Linked DNA regions of Stegostoma tigrinum. The protein of the gene in region 1 purifies or fractionates together with the protein of each later gene. This does not show direct contact. Links are inferred from orthologs where the notes say so. Each region holds a gene or a part of one and is shown on either strand. Other genes may lie near its edges.

The links. The genes of interacting proteins can lie anywhere in the genome.
Region 2: the proteins of serine/arginine-rich splicing factor 3 (region 1) and larp1 purify together in Homo sapiens (co-immunoprecipitation; 3 studies listed by BioGRID and IntAct, with this or other methods). This does not show direct contact. The link is inferred for Stegostoma tigrinum from reciprocal best matches to the Homo sapiens genes SRSF3 and LARP1.
Region 3: the proteins of serine/arginine-rich splicing factor 3 (region 1) and 7SK snRNA methylphosphate capping enzyme-like purify together in Homo sapiens (affinity purification with mass spectrometry; 3 studies listed by BioGRID and IntAct, with this or other methods). This does not show direct contact. The link is inferred for Stegostoma tigrinum from reciprocal best matches to the Homo sapiens genes SRSF3 and MEPCE.

The regions. Positions count from the first base shown.
Region 1 is NC_081374.1:45,876,050-45,883,464, forward strand, and holds the start of serine/arginine-rich splicing factor 3, read left to right. Parts: upstream 1-4,414; 5' UTR 4,415-4,483; exon of another isoform or gene 4,484-4,547; intron 4,548-7,041; 5' UTR 7,042-7,043; coding exon 7,044-7,249; intron 7,250-7,415. UniProt on the Homo sapiens protein: Splicing factor, which binds the consensus motif 5'-C[ACU][AU]C[ACU][AC]C-3' within pre-mRNA and promotes specific exons inclusion during alternative splicing.
Region 2 is NC_081366.1:13,969,315-13,976,375, reverse strand, and holds the start of larp1 (la-related protein 1), read left to right. Parts: upstream 1-4,041; 5' UTR 4,042-4,067; coding exon 4,068-4,527; intron 4,528-7,061. UniProt on the Homo sapiens protein: RNA-binding protein that regulates the translation of specific target mRNA species downstream of the mTORC1 complex, in function of growth signals and nutrient availability.
Region 3 is NC_081398.1:9,416,929-9,424,924, forward strand, and holds the start of 7SK snRNA methylphosphate capping enzyme-like, read right to left. Parts: upstream 3,021-7,996; 5' UTR 2,741-3,020; coding exon 1,286-2,740; intron 1-1,285. UniProt on the Homo sapiens protein: S-adenosyl-L-methionine-dependent methyltransferase that adds a methylphosphate cap at the 5'-end of 7SK snRNA (7SK RNA), leading to stabilize it.

The DNA.
Region 1 (7,415 bases):
AACAGAGAGAGAGAACTCCTGAACTGGTGGCGTTCTCCTTGTCTTGTTCACATCCCCAAACTATCTGAGAACCAATCATGTTGTTGTTGGCAGGCAGAAGACCTTTGTTACTGATGACTAGCCATGGGGCCAGAAACCAATCAGCTGCTTGTACAAACCAAAGCTCCATGTGTACACAACATTTCAGCTTCTCTGCAAACAACATTTTAACCATTGCTGGAAACACCTGCTGTGTAAACAGTGTCCACAATGCATGTCCGCTTATTTGCTTCAAAACATGTAGCAATCATAAAATCCCTACAGCAGGCCATTCAGCCCATCGTGTCCACACCAACCCAGCCGATCACTGTAACCCTGCGTTTCCCATGGCTAATCCATGAGCCTCCATACTCCTGGAAACTGTGAGCAATTTAGAATGGCCAATCCACTCAATCTGCACATCTTTGGGCTGTGGGAGGAAACTGGAGCAGAGACACAGGGAGATCGTGCAAACTCCAAACCGACAATTGCCTGAGGGTGGAATCGAACCCGGGTCCCTGATGCAGTGCCAACCACTGTGCCACCTACTCATTGTTACTTTCTCATTTCAGTCCACAAGTAAAAATATAGAAGAATAAACAAGTAGGGTCCTTATTAGGCAGGAGAAGAGAGGACCCAATGGTGTTAATAATCAGAAACTTCATTCAAATGCACAAGCAGACAGGCACAAGGGTAGCATGCATGTTTACCTGAGACACCAGGTGACCTGACACGAGGGGTGGCACGGTGGTTCAGTGGTTAGTATTGCTGCCTCACAGCGCCAGGGACCCGGATTCGAGTCCAGTCTCGGGCGACTGTCTGTGTGGAGTTTGCATGTTCTCCCCGTGTCTGCGTGGGTTTCCTCTGGGTGCTCCGGTTTCCTCCCACAGCCCAAAGATGTGCAGGCTGGGTGGATTGGCCAATCTAAATTGCCTGTAGTGTTCAGGGATGCGTATATTAGGTGGTTTATAGGGGGATGGGTCTGGGTGGGATGCTCTGAGGGTCAATGTGGACTTGTTGGGCTGAAGGGCCTGTTTCCACACTGTAGGGCTATGAAGGGCTACAGCCACACCATCAGAAATCTGCTGTCTCAGGCATGTGATTGTCTCAGAGCAGTCTCAAAGTCTGCTGGATATGTGGCCAGACCTGAACTCTCAGAGATAGTAGGAACTGCTGGTGAATCTGAGATAACAAGGTGTAGAGCTGGATGAGCACTCCAGGCCAAGCAGCATCAGAGGAGCAGGAAGGCTGACATTTCAACCTATTTCTGAAGAAGGGTCTAGGCCTGAAACGTCACCTTTTCTGTTCCTCTGATGCTGCTTGGCCTGCTGCATTCATCCAGCTCTACACCTTGTTAACTTAGATTCTCCAGCATCTGCAATTCCTACTATCTCTGATAGAGTTCTGGTCTGTCCACATATCCAGCAACTCCATCAGCGTAGCCACTGGTCTTCAGCAACAGTAAGGCAATAGGGGCAAGAGGAACTTTGAGCTCACTCCAGTCATCCCTTCCTCTCATAGAGACTAGATGGAGGACGAACCACATACTGACCTTCAGAAGTCTTCTAACAGGGAACTCCAGAAGTAGCGGGGTCTTCCTGCTTCACCTTGCCTGCTACCTTCAGACCAAAAGGAGTCTAAGTCAAAGAGGGTGCAGTTGTCTCTTGAAAGGGCATACTGAACATGTCTGGGCTGAGGCCCCCTGGGGCCATCCAGCCAAACTGACAAAGCCAATGGGCTCCAGTATACAGCAGGCTTCCTCCAAACCAGGGACTGCACTGACAGGTAGTGGGAGGGAAAGAAATAAGACCTATTGAGGGTTGTATTGGTAGCACGGGTGACACGTCGTTGTAAATAAGTTCTCACTTTTGTAAATGTGTATTCACTTGTCACTGTCATCTGTTTGTGTATCTCTGTGCATCTGCAAATGCAACGCTGCAGGTACTGCCTCAGCTACCTAGAATACACCTCCTCCCACCCACCCTCCTGCAAAAATTCCATCCCCTATTCCCAATTCCTCCGCCTCCGTCGCATCTGCTCCCACGATAAGACATTCCACTCCCGCACATCCCAGATGTCCAAGTTCTTCAAGGACCGCAACCTCCCCCCCACAGTGATCGAGAACGCCCTTGACCACGTCTCCCGCATTTCCCGCAACACATCCCTCACACCCCGCCCCCGCCACAACCGCCCAAAGAGGATCCCCCTCGTTCTCACACACCACCCCACCAACCTCCGGATACAACGCATCATCCTCCGACACTTCCACCATCTACAATCCGACCCCACCACCCAAGACATTTTTCCATCCCCACCCCTGTCTGCTTTCCGGAGAGACCACTCTCTCCGTGACTCCCTTGTTCGCTCCACACTGCCCTCCAACCCCACCACACCCGGCACCTTCCCCTGCAACCACAGGAAATGCTACACTTGCCCCCACACCTCCTCCCTCACCCCCATCCCAGGGCCCAAGATGACATTCCACATTAAGCAGAGGTTCACCTGCACATCTGCCAATGTGGTATACTGCATCCACTGTACCCGGTGTGGCTTCCTCTACATTGGGGAAACCGAGCGGAGGCTTGGGGACCGCTTTGCAGAACACCTCCGCTCGGTTCGCAACAAACAACTGCACCTCCCAGTCGCAAACCATTTCCACTCCCCCTCCCATTCTCTAGATGACATGTCCATCATGGGCCTCCTGCAGTGCCACAATGATGCTACCCGAAGGTTGCAGGAACAGCAACTCATATTCTGCTTGGGAACCCTGCAGCCGAATGGTATCAATGTGGACTTCACCAGCTTCAAAATCTCCCCTTCCCCCACCGCATCCCTAAACCAGCCCAGTTCGTCCCCTCCCCCCACTGCACCACACAACCAGCCCAGCTCTTCCCCTCCACCCACTGTAACCCAAAACCAGTCCAACCTGTCTCTGCCTCCCTAACTGTTCTTCATCTCACCCATCCCTTCCTCCCACCCCAAGCCGCACCTCCATATCCTACCTACTAACCTCATCCCACCTCCTTGACCTGTCCGTCTTCCCTGGACTGACCTATCCCCTCCCTACCTCCCCACCTCCCCACCTATACTCTCCTCTCCACCTATCTTCTTTACTCTCCATCTTCGGTCCGCCTCCCCCTCTCTCCCTATTTATTCCAGTTCCCTCTCCCCATCCCCCTCTCTGATGAAGGGTCTAGGCCCGAAACGTCAGCTTTTGTGCTCCCGAGATGCTGCTGGGTCTGCTGTGTTCATCCAGCCTCACATTTTATTATCTTGGATTCTCCAGCATCTGCAGTTCCCATTATCTCACTGCAGGTACTAATGCCCCACATCCCTACCACTAGGTAATGTGCCATGGACCAGGGTGCAAAGTGAACAGCTGCTGGCAATGGGTGAATTGCAGATACCGGTGACTTTGGCAACTGGACTCCATCTTGCAGTTGCACAAACACTGCTACTGCATTTGTGTGGTTCAATCGTCATCATGTCATGCTGCATAAGCAACAAGTGTGGGGAGATTGGGACGGCTGACGTGGAGGCGTGGTGAAGGGAGATGGTGAGGGTGATGGGGAGGGGAGATGAGAAGGAGATGGTGAGGGGTTAATGAAGAGGGGATGGTGAAGGGATGATGGGGGGAATGAGGAGGGAATGGTGAGGGGGTGATGGTGAGAGGGGAATGTGGAGAGGGATGTGGACGGGATAGTGAGGGGAATGGGGAGGGGACGGTGTGAGGGGCATGGGGAGGGGATGGTGGGAGGGGGATAGTGAGGGGGGATGGGGAAGAAATGGTGAGGGGGAAAGTGGAGGGGATAGTGAGGGGGATGTGGAGGGGATAGTGAGGGCAATGGGATAGTGAAGGGGGATGGTGAGTGGGGAATGGGGAGGGGACGGTGAGAGGGGAATGGGGAGGGGATGGTGGGAGGGGGATAGTGAGGGGGGATGGGGAAGAAATGGTGAGGGGGAAAGTGGAGGGGATAGGGGAGGGGATAGTGAGGAGGGACGGTGGGATAGTGAAGGGGGATGGTGAGTGGGGAATGGGGAGGGACGGTGAGGGGGAATGGGGAGGGGATGGTGGGAGGGGGATAGTGAGGGGGGGTGGGGAAGAAATGGGGGGTGGGGAAGAAATGGTGAGGGGGAAAGTGGAGGGGATAGTGAGGGCAATGGGATAGTGAAGGGGGATGGTGAGTGGGGAATGGGGAGGGGACGGTGAGAGGGGGATAGTGAGGGGGGAGTGGGGATGGGATGGAGATGGTGAGGGGGGAGAACGGAGGGGACGGGACTGTGTTGGCATGGGGATGGTGGGGGAAGGGAGCGGGCCGAATGCGGGTCCTCCGCCAATCAGACGCCGGGGTTTGGGTGCGGGGGTGGGGCCGGGGCTCACACGTGACTGCAGCTATTTCCGTTAGTTGTGGCGCGAGGCAGCGGCCATTTTGTCTGAGCGCGAGGAGTTGGAGGGAGCGAGCAGGTACCGTGACCGGGGAGGAACCGATAAGGATTAGGGACCCCCCACCATCCCCCTCGCCGGGCTAGTGAGTTACAGGCCGGGAATCGGGGGAGGGGTAAGGTAGGAGGCGGCAGGCGGGCATGAATCACGGCGTGGGCTGGGTCGGTGGGGATCGGCCCTCAGGGTCTCTTGTCCCCGGGCCTGCCGTGAGAGTGCTGCCCGGAGAGCGGCTCTGGGTCAGCCTCTGCCTCCGTGTGTGTATATTATATATATATATATATATATATATGTGTGTGTGTGTGGGTAGGGAAGTGTCAGGAAGTTCAGCCTCTTCCCGGGGCCGTCCTCGGGTGGGGCTCGGCGCCTCTGCCGCCATTTTCTCGGCAGAGACTGAGAACAAAGAGAGCGGCGGTCCCTGGGCCCTGACCCCCGGCCCGGCGGCCAGTACTCGGACTCAACCGGATCCGGGGCATCGCTGGACGCTCGGCGGCGTCAGCGCCGTGTCCTACCCGATCTTGCTAAACACCCACCACACCACCATCTCTCTTCTCTCTTTCCCCCCCCCCCCTCCGATAATCAGGCATTCCCTTCTACCACACACCCCCCCCCCCATACACAGGCATTCCCTTCTACCACACACCCCCCCCCCCATACACAGGCATTCCCTTCTACCACACACCCCCCCCCCCATACATAGGCATTCCCTTCTACCACACACACACACACCCCCATACATAGGCATTCCCTTCTACCACACCCCCCCCCCCCATACATAGGCATTCCCTTCTACCACACACCCCCCCCATACATAGGCATTCCCTTCTACCACACACACACCCCCCCCATACATAGGCATTCCCTTCTACCACACACCCCCCCCCCCATACACAGGCATTCCCTTCTACCACACACCCCCCCCCCATACATAGGCATTCCCTTCTACCACACACACCCCCCCCCATACATAGGCATTCCCTTCTACCACACATCCCCCCACCCCATACACAGGCATTCCCTTCTACCACACACCCCCCACCCCATACACAGGCATTCCCTTCTACCACACACCCCCCACCCCATACACAGGCATTCCCTTCTACCACACACCCCCCCCCCCCATACATAGGCATTCCCTTCTACCACACACACCCCCCCCCCCCCCATACATAGGCATTCCCTTCTACCACACATCCCCCCACCCCATACACAGGCATTCCCTTCTACCACACACCCCCCCCCCCATACATAGGCATTCCCTTTTACCACACATCCCCCCACCCCATACACAGGCACTCCCTTCTACCACACACCCCCCACCCCATACACAGGCATTCCCTTCTACCACACACCCCCCCCCCATACACAGGCATTCCCTTCTACCACACCCCCCCCCCCATACACAGGCATTCCCTTCTACCACACACCCCCCCCCCCCATACATAGGCATTCCCTTCTACCACACACACCCCCCCCCCCATACATAGGCATTCCCTTCTACCACACATCCCCCCACCCCATACACAGGCATTCCCTTCTACCACACACCCCCCACCCCATACACAGGCATTCCCTTCTACCACACACCCCCCCCCCCATACACAGGCATTCCCTTCTACCACACCCCCCCCCCATACACAGGCATTCCCTTCTACCACACCCCCCCCATACACAGGCATTCCCTTCTACCACACCCCCCCCCCCCCCATACACAGGCATTCCCTTCTACCACACACCCCCCACCCCATACACAGGCATTCCCTTCTACCACACACCCCCCACCCCATACACAGGCATTCCCTTTCCCCTTTCTACCCCCCCCCATACACAGGCATTCCCTTCTACCACACACCCCCCCATACACAGGCATTCCCTTGTCCAAAGGCATGACCTTTGCCATTGTGACTTAATTTCTCTGGTCCAAATATGGAGGCAGCTAATGATCCACTAGTTCATGAAGCGTTTGATTTTGTAGCTGTCCCAGTGACAGACTAGCCACTTGAAGGTGTTCAGGTGAAATATTGATCTGTTGTATCCAAGATCTGTTTGGTTTTGTCTGCAAGCTGCTTTAGCAACATTTTAAGCTAACTCATCCCAACTCCTTGTTCACTTCTCAGAATATCTGTGCTGAATATTTGATTACATATGTTTTGCTTTGTAGAGTTTTGCAGCTGTTTCCACAGATATTGGTCTGAAATTACTTGGTTTGTAGTGGTTTCAGGATTCCTCCTGTGGGATAGTAAGCGTTGCATTACTCTCTCTAGACCCTTTGTGTGACTTTAAGGGGGTCAGCAGTGCAATGGACATGTGAAATGTGAAGCAGTTTCATACTTGCATGCAAGTGCTGTGACTGGATACTGGACTTTCTGTGGGGTTTGGTGTCCATTTAAAACATATCTTTTAATGACCTCCATATTGCCATTATACTGATGTTGAGGGATTCCAGATTAATTCCTGAATTATTTAAAGTGCTCATTGTGTTGCTTGTTTTTCGAGGTTTTAAATGTCTATAATGACTCAAGGTTGGCAGAATGTGTAGAATCTGTTAACTAAATTTTTAAAATTTGTATCTTGTATTCCAGCCATGAATCATGGTTCATGTCCTCTTGACTGCAAGGTGTACGTAGGAAACCTTGGAAACAATGGAAATAAGACAGAGCTTGAGAGATCATTTGGATATTATGGCCCTCTCCGCAGTGTATGGGTTGCCCGGAATCCACCTGGATTTGCATTTGTTGAGTTCGAAGATCCGCGAGATGCTTCGGATGCAGTCAGAGAACTTGATGGAAGGTAATTATTTCCCTCCCTAAAGTTGGTGTCATTCCCTTTTGAGTTGTCTTCACAGCTTTTGTTGCATACTTCCCAAAACTGATTCTGAGAAGCAGTCAGATCAATGTGCTGTTGATGAATGGAGACATTTTATGGACATGTGGAACTGCTCCATCTAATGGCCAGA
Region 2 (7,061 bases), on another chromosome or scaffold:
TCTGTGTAGGGGAGGGGGATGTGTTTGGGATGTTGCTGGGTTCTGTGTCGGGGAAGGGGGTGTATTTGGGATGTTGCTGGGTTCTGTGTCGGGGAGGGAGATGTGTTTGGGATGTTGCTGGGTTCTGTGTCGGGGAGGGGGGCGTATTTGGGATGTTGCTGGGTTCTGTGTTGGGGAGGGGGGTGTATTTGGGATGGTGTGGGGTTCTGCTTTGGGGAGGGGGATGCGCTTGGGATGTTGCTGGGTTCTGTGTGGGGGAGGGGGATGTGTTTGGGATGTTGCGGGGTTCTGTGTAAGGGAGGGGGATGTGTTTGGAATGTTGCGGGGTTCTGTGTGGGGAGGGGGATGTATTTGGGATGTTGCTGGGTTCTGTGTGGGGAGGGGGGTGTATTTGGGATGTTGCTGGGTTCTGTGTCGGGGAGGGGGGTGTATTTGGGATGTTGCAGGGTACTGCTTTGGGGAGGGGGGTGTGTTTGGGATGTTGCTGGGTTCTGTGTCGGGGAGGGGGGTGTATTTGGGATGTTGCTGGGTTCTGTGTGGGGAGGGGGGTGTATTTGGGACGTTGCTGGGTTCTGTGTCGTGGAGGTGGGTGTATTTGGGATGTTGCGGGGTTCTGTGTGGGGGAGGGGTGTGTGTTTAGGATGTTGCGGGGTTCTGTGTGGGGGTGGGGGGTGGGTTTGGGATGTTGCGGGGTTCTGTGTAGGGGAGGGGGATGTGTTTGGGATGTTGCGGTGTTCTGTGTCGGGGAAGGGGGTGTATTTGGGATGTTGCTGGGTTCTGTGTCGGGGAGGGCGGTGTATTTGGGATGTTGCTGAGTTCTGTGTTGGGGAGGGGGTTGTATTTGGGATGGTGCGGGGTTCTGCTTTGGAGAGGGGGATGTGCTTGGGATGTTGCTGGGTTCTGTGTGGGGGAGGGGGATGTGTTTGGGATGTTGCGGGGTTCTGTGTAAGGGAGGGGGATGTGTTTGGGATGTTGCGGGGTTCTGAATGGAGGAGGCGAATGTGTTTGGGATGATGCAGGGTTATGTGTGGGGAGGGGGGTGTATTTGGTATGTTGCTGGGTTCTGTGTGGGGAGAGGGGTGTATTTGGGATGTTGCGGGGTTCTGTGTTGGGGAGCGGGGTGTATTTGGGATGTTGCTAGGTTCTGTGTGGGGGAGGGGGATGTGTTTGGGATGTTGCGGGGTTCTGTGTAAGGGAGGGGGATGTGTTTGGAATGTTGCGGGGTTCTGTGTGGGGAGGGGGGTGTATTTGGGATGTTGCGGGGTTCTGTGTTGGGGAGCGGGGTGTATTTGGGATGTTGCGGGGTTCTGCTTTGGGGAGGGGGTGTGTTTGGGATGTTGCTAGGTTCTGTGTGGGGGAGGGGGATGTGTTTGGGATGTTGCGGGGTTCTCTGTAAGGGAGGGGGATGTGTTTGGGATGTTGCGGGGTTCTGTGTAGGGGAGGGGGATGTGTTTGGGATGTTGCTGGGTTCTGTGTAGGGGAGGGGGATGTGTTTGGGATGTTGCGAGGTTCTGAATGGAGGAGGCGAATGCGTTGGGGATGATGCAGGGTTATGTGTGGGGGAGGAGGGTGTATTTGGGATGTTGCTGGGTTCTGTGTGGGGGAGGGGGATGTATTTGGGATGTTGCTGGGTTCTGTGTCGGGGAGGGGGGTGTATTTGGGATGTTGCTGGGTTCTGTGTGGGGGAGGGGGTGTGTTTGGGATGTTGCTGGGTTCTGTGTGGGGGAGGGGGATGTGTTTGGGATGTTGCGGGGTTCTGTGTAAGGGAGGGGGATGTGTTTGGGATGTTGCGGTGTTCTGTGTAGGGGAGGGGGATGTGTTTGGGATGTTGCTGGGTTCTGTGTATGGGAGGGGGATGTGTTTGGGATGTTGCGGGGTTCTGAACGGAGGAGGCGAATGCATTGGGGATGATGCAGGGTTATGTGTGGGGCAGGAGGGTGTATTTGGGATGTTGCTGGGTTCTGTGTGGGGGAGGGGGATGTATTTGCGATGTTGCTGGGTTCTGTGTCGGGGAGGGGGGTGTATTTGGGATGTTGCTGGGTTCTGTGTGGGGGAGGGGGTGTGTTTGGGATGTTGCTGGGTTCTGTGTGGGGAGGGGGTTGTATTTGGGATGTTGCTGGGTTCTGTGTCGGGGAGGGTGATGTATTTGGGATGTTGCGGGGTTCTGCTTTGTGGAGGGGGGTGTATTTGGGATGTTGCTGGGTTCTGTGTGGGGGAGCGGGATGTATTTGCGATGTTGCTGGGTTCTGTGTCGGGGAGGGGGGTGTATTTGGGATGTTGCTGGGTTCTGTGTGGGGGAGGGGGTGTGTTTGGGATGTTGCTGGGTTCTGTGTGGGGAGGGCGTTGTATTTGGGATGTTGCTGGGTTCTGTGTCGGGGAGGGGGATGTATTTGGGATGTTGCGGGGTTCTGCTTCGGGGAGGGGGGTGTATTTGGGATGTTGCGGGGTTCTGTGTCGGGGAGGGGGATGTATTTGGGATGTTGCGGGGTTCTGTGTCGGGGAGGGGGATGTATTTGGGATGTTGCGGGGTTCTGTGTCGGGGAGGGGGATGTATTTGGGATGTTGCGGTGTTCTGTGTCGGGGAGGGGGATGTATTTGGGATGTTGCGGGGTTCTGTGTCGGGGAGGGGGGTGTATTTGGGATGTTGCGGTGTTCTGTGTGGGGGAGGGGGATGTATTTGGGATGTTGCTGGGTTCTGTGTCGGGGAGGGGGATGTATTTGGGATGTTGCGGTGTTCTGTGTCGGGGAGGGGGATGTATTTGGGATGTTGCGGGGTTCTGTGTCGGGGAGGGGGGTGTATTTGGGATGTTGCGGTGTTCTGTGTGGGGGAGGGGGATGTATTTGGGATGTTGCGGTGTTCTGTGTCAGGGAGGGGGATGTATTTGGGATGTTGCGGGGTTCTGTGTCGGGGAGGGGTGTGTATTTGGGATGTTGCGGTGTTCTGTGTGGGGGAGGGGGATGTATTTGGGATGTTGCGGGGTTCTGTGTCGGGGAGGGGGATGTATTTGGGATGTTGCGGGGTTCTGTGTCGGGGAGGGGGGTGTATTTGGGATGTTGCGGGGTTCTGTGTCGGGGAGGGGGGTGTATTTGGGATGTTGCTGGGTTCTGTGTCGGGGAGGGGGGTGTATTTGGGATGTTGCGGGGTTCTGTGTCGGGGAGGGGGGTGTATTTGGGATGTTGCGGGGTTCTGTGTCGGGGAAAGGGGTGTGTTTGGGATGTTGCGGGGTTCTGTGTCGGGGAGGGGGATGTATTTGGGATGTTGCGGGGTTCTGTTTGGGGGAAAGGGGTGTGTTTGGGATGTTGCGGGGTTCTGTGTCGGGGAGGGGGGTGTATTTGGGATGTTGCGGGGTTCTGTGTCGGGGAGGGGGGTGTATTTGGGATGTTGCTGGGTTCTGTGTCGGGGAGGGGGGTGTATTTGGGATGTTGCTGGGTTTTGTGTGGGGGAAAGGGGTGTGTTTGGGATGTTGCGGTGTTCTGTGTCGGGGAGGGGGGTGTATTTGGGATGTTGCGGGGTTCTGTGTGGGGGAGGGGGGTGTATTTGGGATGTTGCTGGGTTCTGTGTCGGGGAGGGGGGTGTATTTGGGATGTTGCTGGGTTCTGTGTGGGGGAAAGGGGTGTGTTTGGGATGTTGCTGGGTTCTGTGTGGGGGAAAGGGGTGTGTTTGGGATGTTGCGGTGTTCTGTGTCGGGGAGGGGGGTGTGTTTGGGATGTTGCGGTGTTCTGTGTCGGGGAGAGGGGTGTGTTTGGGATGTTGCGGTGTTCTGTGTCGGGGAGGGGGATGTATTTGGGATGTTGCTGGGTTCTGTGTCGGGGAGAGGGGTGTGTTTGGGATGTTGCGGTGTTCTGTGTCGGGGAGGGGGGTGTGTTTGGGATGTTGCTGCGTTGGTAACGGGGCGTGGGTGTGGGCGGGCTCTGTTTTTCAAGTCCCACCCACCGTTGCTCGCTCCCTCGGGTCAGCTGGGGAACGGCGGAGTACGTGCGCGCCCCGCGTCAGCGTGGGTTCGGCGCGGTGCGTGCGCGCGTACGCTGCTGCCACACGGAGTCCGAGTGCGAGCCCAGCCGCCGCCATGGCCACGCAGGTGCAGAGTCTGCCGTCGCCTCACGGAGCCCAGGCCCCGGAGCAACCGCGTTCGGAGCCGGCCCAGAACTCGGTACACGCCCAGGCCCCGGCATTGCGCCAGGCCGCCGGGCCCGAGCAGGCGTCCTCCCAGACCGGGGCTGGCACCGGCACCAGGCCTGAGGCCAAGCGCCTCATGGCAGCCCCGCCGCCCAAGGTGAACCCGTGGAGTAAAACGGCCTGTGCCGGCGAGTCCGGCGCTCCCAGCCCGGCTCCGCCTGCAGAGCCCGGAGTGGCCTCCGGACCTGGACCAGGGCCCGGCTCCGAGCCCCCGGGACAGGCTGGAGACAGCGCTGAGGAGCAGAGGGCCGGTGGCTGCGGCCGCAGGAAGGAGTTCATCGAGGCGCCCCCGCCCAGAGTCAATCCCTGGACCAGGAGAGTGAGCGGGAGCGGCGTGGAGACCGAGCCAGGTTAGTGCAGGCCCATGAAGGAGAAAGAGGGTGAGGAATCTGTGGCCGGGCCCAAGACTGGGACAGGTGTTGGGGTGGGGTGGGGTTTGATCGATAAGTAAGGGGGTTGCTCAGTCCCCTGCCACCCCCATCTTTAAAACTCCCAGATCCCAAATTTCTTTTCGCCATCCCCAGTCCAAGGATCTGTGGTAGGGGAGTACCCAGTGTCAGATTCAGCTTCCCAGGTCCTATGTTGTGGGTATACTAACCTTCCCTGATTTTAGATCCCGAATCCTTTGCTTCACATCCCTCCCCTGCCCCCGAAGCTCCCAACCAGTGCTCCCAGACATTACTTACTTGTTAGATCTCACCACCGTACCACACCTGAGATTTGGGAGTCCCTGTCTGCAGATCACTCATCTGACTGCACTCACACATCAATTCTTATTCGTCTCTACCTCACTGCTTGATCTGCCAGTTCAGGATTCTTGCTCCAAACCTGTGGACCAGGCATCCCTGTCCACCCGAGCTGAAACTCCTGTTACAAACAATGTTTATGCCCAGGATTTTGTCTTTTTTTCCTGTTGCGTTCTGAGATGCTGTAACGGTGTGATTCATGCTCAACTTTGATCCTTTTGTCATTAGAACAGGATATTATGGGGTAGCTTGACATGTTAAAAGTTACGAAGGGATGGAACAGAGTTTTATGTGACCAGAGGCCATTTAAGAATTGGTTGGTGGTTGATGGAGTGAAGGGTGCTGGGAAATGGTGAGGAGATAGGATCGTGACTGTTGGTGTGGAGAGCATGTGATGCTTTCTTTTCATACCTGTATTCTGTTTCTGCATGCATTTTTACTGTTAGCAACATGTGCACGATTGAGCAAATAGTCTTTTTCTTTGCCAATTAATTGGATGATAAATCTACAAAAAAGTGGAGAAGCTGTTACTCGGGAATGGCTCACATGACCTGTGTGGATTATATGCGACATGGTTTTTTTCTTAACCTAGTTGTGGTATTGTACTTCTCCTTTATTGAGCAATGAAATCATCGAAGCATATTCCTAATACTTAAGGACTGAAATGTAAACTGATACTGGCTTCTGGGCATGGATGATCCTTCCCCAAGACTTGGATCGGTTCTGCATGCAGCAGTGCAGTGAGGAGAAGAGTTAAATGGATACTGGGATACGTTCATCAAGCAATGCACCATTTTTGTTCAAAAAGATTTTTCAGGGTTTTGCCAAAATTCTGAAATGGGTGTCATCTTGAGTGTTTATTGCAGATAAAGTTGAAGTTGAATGTCGGCGTACTGAAAAACTAACGCAAAATTCTGGAATACACACCAATTTAGTTGGAATCTGAAAGACAGCGGTCATGGTTTAGGGTGGAGACATTGTCACAAATGAATGTATGTCTGAAGCTCTGTTTTCATCCGGACATTAGCCTGTTCTTTCTGATTAATGTCGGTGATTCTGAAGCACTTTTTAAATCAGTCCCTGATCTTAAAACCTGTTCACATGAAGCATGTTGCTCTGCTTCTAGTTACCAATCTTCTGTGAATGATAACACTGCACGTTGGAACAGAACCATGTCCTGCATAAACTACTCATCTGGGACCCTAGCACTGTGACACAGGTTCATGTTTACAATGGAGAAATAATAGAACATAGAACGTTACAGCACAGTACAGGCCCTTCGGCCCTTGATGTTGTGCTGACCTGTCATACCGATCTCAAGCCCATCTAACCTACACTATTCCGTGTATGTCCATATGCTTATCCAATGAGGACTTAAATGTACCTAAATCTTCTTTTATTTACATAGTGCCTGACCATGATTCCAGGTTGCCCAAAGCGCACTTGCAGCAAAAATTACTTCGGAAGTACGACTCCAGTCATATTGGCAAATATGGCAGCCAGGTTATGTGATCAAAAACAGTACTTTTGAGTTCTTCTACATGGTGAAACATTCCAAGGCACTTCACGAGAGCAAGAAAGTTTTGGATGCCCAGCCACTAGACATATTAGACCAGAAGAGAGATGTTTTACACACTGTCTTGAAGCAAGAGAGGGATGGAGAGGTTTAAGGAGGGAATTCCAGAAAATATAGTTTCTGCAGCTGAATGCACAGTTGCCAGTAGTTCATTGTAAAACCTGGAGATACTCTAGACCAGAATTGGAGGAGTGCACGTAAATGGGTTACAGAAACACGTTTGCATTTATATAGCATCTTACATCACCATAGGATGCTCCAAAGAATTTACAATTTACAAAGCACTTTTTGAAGTATAATTATTGTAAAACTGTGCAGCAAAATTGTGCGCAGCAAGATCCCTCAAGTAACTACTTTTCATTTGATTGGAGGGTAAATATTGTCCATGCACTGGGGTAACTCCCATGCTCTTCAATATGATGCAATAGGAACATTTACATCTACATGGGAGGATAGGAGGGGCCCCAGATATAATGCTTCATCCAAAAGACATTAACTCTGACATTGCAACATTTCTTCGTATTGCATTAGGTTACCAACCGAGATGTTTATGCTTGAGTCC
Region 3 (7,996 bases), on another chromosome or scaffold:
ATGCTGTAATTAAAGTCTCACAGTGACATGCACACCCCCTGCATCACGTTTCCATTACTTAGTGGATGCTTCTACAATGATTATGTGGACTTCTCGATTATCCAGAATATTTTATCAACTAGCACACTCCTGGTCCCATAGACACTGGTTGATAAAAGGTGCGCTGCATGTGAAGAGAAATGTTCATCATTTGGACCAACTGATTGCAAATAGAGTGTAATGCTATTCCGTAGGATTTTCTTGAGCATTTCTGCATCTGTTACACACTTCCAGCGGCTTTTACAGTTCTTTGTTAGATCAATGTTTGCAGGAGGCACTAGGAACAGGAATTTCAAAATTAAAATGCATCAATCGCATTATCGCGATCCGTTGACTTCATTTTCCCAAAAAAGAGAGTGCAGGTGGTGGGTGGTGGTGGTCGAGGGTTTAGTTTTGAAATCATAAAAGTTCATCAATTCGACCCCAGAAGTGAAAATCATAAGTCAAAGAAACGAACGATTGCTCAGTACAAGGGGCACCTCCTCGTGGGCAAACCAGAAACATGCCGAGTGACAGGATTTTCAGTGCAAGGAAATCTCACGCAGAGGGGAAAGAGCAGGACAGGAATAGGCCACAGCCCCAAACTCAACAAGTACACCATACAGAAGACATGTGTAGCCACCATTTCAAATTAGTAAAGCTGAACAGCTGGCTGCAGACACAAAAACTTGATAAGACATAGGGTCAGCTTAAAATAAAAGGCGGAACATACACTCACGCTAAACGTCGTTTTGCTAGAAGCAGCATTTTAAAAGTGACTCAAAAACCCACAAACGCAGTTTCACAGACACTCAGTTGAATGTTCTGAAGGCATGTAATGGCCCTGAGCCATTCTGCAACAGGAATGAGAAACTTTTAAAAGCCCTCTTCGTTTGGAGCACTCCCTGGGCAAGGTTACAAAACCTGAAATGCTCTCATGTCTTAACATTCACAGCCGGGGGTGGGGGGGGGGAAGAAGTTGTTTACACGTCCTACTTGCAAAGTAATGCGTGCTTCAAGAATGCGTGCATTGTCAAGATAACACCAAAAATCTTTACATTTCCACAAACACAAAGCAACTGTTAAGGTTGTAAACAGCCATCTACTGAAGGTGTGCCCCCCGGATGGCGTTTGAGTGCCCCTAATCTATGGAGTTTGGTTCAAGGGGTCATTTGGGACTTTTTTGCAACGCCAAATGTTTAATTTACAAGATTAGTAGCCAAGGTGAAACTCCCTTCTCCACAAAAAGCATACCAGATGCACTCACCTGGATGAAAGTGACGTTATTGGGGAACTCAGCCACACAGCGATCCACAGCCACGGGTGGGGCAGCGATTGGGCCCTTACACTTGGTCAGCGACAGCGGGAAGCGCCTCTTCACCTGCCCATCGCCCTGCGACGGCAGCATGTCCTGCGACAGGAAATGGCGGATGTTCTGTCGGGCCGTGTGGATGAGGCTACCGTCAATGTCGATGCCCACAATGCGCGAGGGCTTCAAGTCTTTGGCGATGCTGAGCGTCAGGTGGCCCGCGTTGCAGCCCAGGTCCAAGATGTCCTTGCCCTGGAACCACTCAGGCTTGAAGAAGCTGAGCCGGGGGTCCTCACAGCGGCCTGGGTTACGGTAGCCGTAGTACTTGGTGTAGTTGCCATACTGGAACCGCTTCTGTTTGCTCTGGAAGTTGGGCTGGGCCTTGCCATCACGGTGCAGGCTAGAGTGGCGCTGGAAGCTGTGTTGCTGCTGGTGGTGTTGGTGATGGTGGTGGTGAGATGCCTTGCCTTTTGCCTTCTCTGGCATTGGCTTCTTGGCATCCGCACCTGGCAGCCTCGGCTCTTCCTCCGAGCTGGTCGGGATCTTGCCCAGCTCGGACTTGCTGGCGGTCCGGCGCCGCTTGCGATGCCGGCTTCCAGTTGGGGCTTGCTCGGAGCCACGGAGGACAGGTGACACAATCTCGTCCCTGCAGTTAATGAGGGTGTTGAGCTCGTAGGGCTGGGGGCCCTCAGGCTCAGTTGGCACCTCGGAGGACCCCGGCCCCACGCTTGTTCCTGCTGGGTTCTGACCCACAAGGCAGTCCCGGGAGCTTGGGTCCAGTGGGAGAACTTGGTTCCTCTCCGCTGATTCGGTGGCGGTGGCAGACTGGGGTTGCTGGCCAGGCTGGTGGTGGTAATGACGGTGTCGCCTCTTGCGGCCCAACTTGAGGGGCGATGGCAGGACCTCGGAGTCATTGTTGAGGTTGAGCGGGTCGGTGATGTCCTTGGGGATGAGGATCTCTACCGGGTCGCGGTTCCGGCTGGGCAGAGGCGAGGACTTGGGGGTCTCAGCGTTAAGAGCCTTGTTGACGTCCTCGTCCAGCAGGCTGTTGAGGTTGAGCGGGTCAAAGATGTTACCGCCCAGCAGGAAATTGCTGGGCAGCACCGGGTCACAGTCTGAGTTGACGCGGCGCCTCCTCTTGAACCCGGGGTGCTTGAAGCCTACGTTCAAGCTATTCCTCCGTTTGAAGGCCCTCTGCTGCTGCAAGGGCTGGAGCCCATTCCTTGGCCGGCTCAGCTCCGCCACGCTGTCAACCTCATCTTTGGCACCAGGGGACAGGGCAACCTCCTCACTGACGGGCGTCAGCACCCTGCCCGGGTGGCGGTGTAGCTCCTCGACCCCCATGGCAGACAGGTACTCGGGCTTCAGGAGGGTCACCTCCCTGACAGAATCTTCCTCGACCGACGCCGCCATCAGACGGCATGGGGAGCCTCTTGGCCACAGGGGGTGGTTGCTGGCGTGTGGGTCGGCCTGGCTCTCTCTCCTGTGATAGCGCCCCCGTTTGCCCAGTGCAGCAGCAACTTCCCAAGCACCAGGGGCTGAGTCAGCCCTTCCCCCTCCCCCCACCCAAGTTGCAACCAGTGCACGACGTCGCCGTTACGCACTCTAACGGAATCCCACGTCGCCCGTGACGTCAGCGCGTCTCATCAACATAAATGAATTATTCATATTCTGGGACCTTAGCGAACAATCAACTCACCCCCTCCCCCCCACACCCCCTCACCACCAACCTTCACGGGTTTTGTTTATCGACTCCCGCTTCTACCCCTCCCCCGCTAAACCCAGTCCTTTCTATCCTCCACCTGACCGAAAAATCCAAAATGGCAACTTTAAAGCCCTCGATTGTCAAGTTTGTGGAACTTAAAGCGGAAATATATCCGCAAGCGACGAACCGTGCTTATTCATTCGGTGGAAGTCACACGGTTGCTTTTCACACCACCACCCCCCTCTTCCCTTTCGCTTCGAACTCCACCCCCCACCCACTTATTTAAAAGAAAATTAAAATCACTTTTTTTCAAAACCCCCCCCTTTCCTCGCTCACCACCCCTTGGAGCTGCTAAGGCGCACTCGCTATTTTTTTTCCTCTCTCTCCCTTTCCCTGTCCCCTCCCCCCCCTTTCTCCCCTCACAGTGCGCTTGCGTCTCCTTTTATAACCAAGCTGGACCGCCCCTCGGCTGATAGACATCCGTCCCCACCAATCGGCCAGAAGGGGAGCGCGTCGCGCGGCGAACCTCTTCCCGGCCCCGGCCAATCCGGATACAAGGGATGGGCGGGACTTCAGCCACCCTTAGCCCCGCCCCTCCCCCCACAACCGCTGGAAGGCGGGACACGGAGGTTGTGGGGGAGGGGAGGGCCGCCTAGGCGTCCGTCCTCACCGACGGAAAAAAATAGATTGTTTTTTAAAAAAACAGAAATAAGGTATAATAATTAATATGTAACATCTGAGTTTTGGTTCGACGTGTTTCCCAGCCCCAGTAGACAGGGAGAGTCCTCAAGCTTGTTCTGTTAAGGCGGGGACGCAAGGTTAATCCCCGCCGTCGTCTGAGGGAGGGAGGGCTGATGGTGTGTACGGGGGTTTTCAATCGTCCGTCCCCGATGTGGAGTGTTGTTTTTGTTTCCCCTCCCCGCCATCATTCAGGCGCCGGCCGCGGCTCGCCTCCCTCCTTCCGCGCGGCGAAAAACAAACCCGACTTCTCAAACGGGAACCGGGGCCGTCTCACAGGCTCGGCGTTTACTTCACGGGGGTGCGGACACCCTCAGAGCCAGGCCCGCCGGCTGCTGGGAGGGGGTGGAGGGGGGAAGTTGGAAGAAATCGTTAGAGAAAAAAATTCCGTTCGACGCCCTGGGGCTCTCACGTCGTCTTTTTGTCGGTTGGCGCTCGACTCGACATCCGTTGGGGGCGATCACGTGACAGTGGCCCGAAGCGGTGCCCGATGGGAGTTGTAGTTTCCTTCCACTTCCACGCCTCTCCCCACCCCTTCATCTCCCTCCGTCCCCGTTTAACCCCTACTTGCGGTCCCCCCCGCCCATCTTTCAACCTTGCCCCCAATATCCTCCCACTGTCTCTCCCCGTCAACATCCCACCTACCTGACCACCCCCAACCGTGTTCCCACAACTCTCACATCCCACCATCTCTAACTCCTCTTACCCACTCCCCACCCCCATCTCTGATCCCACCATCTCTTTCCCCCTTCCCTCTTCCTATTTCCTCTATCTCTTTATCCCTATCTCCCACATATCCTCCCCAACTCCCCTTCCTACACATTTCTCCTCCGTCTCTCTCTTCCCATCTCCCCTCATTTCCTTCTCCCCAACCGTCTCCTCACCCCACCCCCCACAAAACTCCTCACCTCCAAACACTGGGCATTCACCTACTAGAAACAAAGCCACATTGGGTCTATTTCCCAGCCTCTGGCTGAACTACTCTGTTTCTAAAAGCTGGCCGCTGGAAGGGAACTCACAGCAGGGATTTGGGGAATAAAAGTTTCTCCTAGACAGTAGAGAATGTCTGGAACTCACTGAGGCAGGGTGGTAGAGGCAGGAACCCTCAAGATATTTAAGAACTATTTGCATGAGCATGTCCAAGTGCTTGAAAATGGGATTTGAATAGATGGATGATTGATCATTATCCCAGATGCAATGTGCCAAAGGGCCTCTTTCCATGCTGTATAACTCAATGACAGATAGGGTATAAATCTTATCTTCTCTAACTTCCCTGACTGTCTCCAGGCCGACAACATCTGATTGACTCTTTAACTGCCCTTTGAAGTGGTCAATCAAGCCACTCTACTTGGGGCCAATTGGAGATGGGCAACAAAACCTGGCCTCAGATGCACCCCTGAAAGTTTATTAAAAATTCACTCCACACATTGTAGATACATCGACAGTGATGTGGGGCTGGGAATATCATTCTCGACCCAGCGACAGTGAAGGAACAACAACATATTTCCAAGTCACGGTGGTATGGAGCTTGGAGGGAAGTTGCTGCTGGAGGATTTCTCATACAATTTGTTCTGGATGGTACTTGTGATGGGTTAAAACTATTTCTTGTATTACGCAAAGACTAATGTACTTAATTGGCTGCAAAGTACCATGAGCTGTGAAGAGTACCATATACATACAAGTCTTTTCCTTTAAATTCTTTCTCAGGAAATTGGCAACACAAAGAAAGCTAATATTCTCTGACTGTCTGTTGATCCCCTTGAGAACATGAAAGGTTATGAAAACTGCTTTGTCAAACCTTTGCAGTCACTGTGGTGATCGTACTTAGTGAATGAGATGAGTTTTTTTAACGAGTTCCAAAGTTATGGTTATTTTAATCAACCTGTTCAGACATGTTATGACAAATCTCTGGAGTAGTTGGGAATTGAACTTGGAGGTGGGGTCACTACCAATGCACACTACAAGAGCCCTTCATTCAGCAGTTTTATGCTCGGCCTGTGACTAATTTTAATCCCGAGTGATTAAATTGGAATTTCTTCATGTGGGATTTTATCGAGTCGTGAGATTATTGGGGTGGCATGGTGATTCTGTGGTTAGCACTGCTGCCTCACAGCATTAGTGACCCAGGTTCAATTCCACCCTCTGGTGACTGTCTATGTGGAGTTTGCATGTTTTTCCTGTATCTGCATGGGTTCCCTCTGGATGCTGCAGTTTCCTCCCACAATCCAAAGGTGAATTGGCCATGCTAAGTTGCCCATAGTGTCCAGAGTGTTGAGTGTGGTCGAGGTGGGTTCGCCATGGGAAATGCACATTTTTTATAGAATCCCTAGAATGCGGAAACAGGCCCTTCATGCCAACAAGTCCACACCGATTCTCAGAGGATCCTACCTAGGCCCATCCTCCTTTAATCCAACTAATCTACACATCCCTCAACACTATGGACAATTTTCCCTGGCAAATGTACTGTGCTGTACTTTTCTATGTTCTATGTTTTAAATCCACTTAGCCTGCACATATTTGGACTGTGAGAGGAAACCAGGGCACCCGGAGGACACACACAGACATGGGGAAAATGTCTAAACTCCACATAGACGGCCACCCGAGCGTGGAATTGAGCCCAGGAGCCCGGCACTGTGAGGCAGCAGTGCTAACCACGGAGCTGCCTGTTATAGGAATAGGCTGGGTCTGGGTGGTATGCTCTTTGAAGGGTCGGTGTGGACGTGATGGGCCAAATGGCCTGCTTCCACACCATAGGGATTCTATATATCTTATAAATTCAGTAACAAAACCACTGCGGGGGCTGTTTAGCTAAATTGGCTAGATTTTTAGCGCATGGTTTAGATTGATTCCCAGTTTAGATCAAGTAGATTTAGGAGCTGACTCCTTGCTCTCACCTCGAGAGTTAAAGGTGATGGTAGACACCATGGACAAAAGTATTGAATCTTCTCTATTTCCTTTTCTGGCAATGCGTTCCAGATCACAACAATTTGCTTGCATAAAAAGAAGGAATTTTCTCACCTATTGTCCTTAATTTCTTTGGTAATTATTTCCAAATATCTGCCCCCCCCCCACCCCGCGCCGGTTTCCGATGCTCCTGCCACTAGAGACGGTGTAAAACCAAGTTAGAAAATTATTAATTCGCTGGAAGTGGGTGTTGCTGGTGAGGCCAGCATCTTTTTGCCCATCTCTCGTTGTCTTTGAGGAAGTGCTGGTCAGCAGCCTGCGGCCCATGTGCAAAAGTTCTTAGTTTCAGATGATCGATGTAATCTTAAATGTCATAGAGTCATACAGCATGGAAATAGACCCTTTGGTCTAACCAGCCCATGCTGAACATCATCCCAAACTAAACTACTCCCACCTGCCTGCTCCCGGCCCATATCCCTGCAAACATTTCCTATTCATGTCCGTATCCAAATGTCTTTTAAATATTGTAATTGTACCCGCATCCACCTCTTCCTCAGGAAGTTCATTCCACACGTGAACCACCCTCTATGAAAAACTTGCCCCTCGTTTTTTTTTAAATCTTTTTCCTCTCACCTTAAAATTTGTTCCCTAGTCTTGAAGACCCCCTTCCTAGGGAAAAGACAACTACCATTAACTCTATCTATACAACCTCATTGTTTTATAAACTTCTATAATGTTGCCTGTCAACTCCTACGCTCCAGTGAAAAACGTCCCAACCTATCAAGTGTTACCTTATAAGTCAAAATTTCCATACCTGGTAAATCTTTTCTGTATCTTCCCCATGTCTTCGCCAGAGCCATGAAATATAGACCTGCCTGTCTGCGACAGTCAGTTTCTTCTGCCACTTGATCTAAGTACCAACTCCCTTACCTCCCAGTTCCCAAGCGCCACACAACATAATATGCAACCATATGAAGTAGGCCTCTTTGTCCTGCTCAATCATTCAATAACATTGTGGCTAATCTGATTGTAGACTCGGCTGCACTTTCCGTCTGTACTAGAAATGTTCTTTTTGGCTGTGTATTCATCAGGAGCCTACTTGACGCAACCTTTATATTCAATGACCCAGCCTTGACCATTCTCTGGTGAAGCAGGCTCCACAGACTAATGACTGACAGCAAAAAAAATACACTCCTCATCTCCATGTTAAGTGCAAGACGCCTTATTTTCCCCTGATTCTGGTCTCTCCCACAAGGTGAAATGTTAAAGGAAATACTTTTCACTGTATTTCAGTACGTGACAATAATAAATCAAATCAAAAT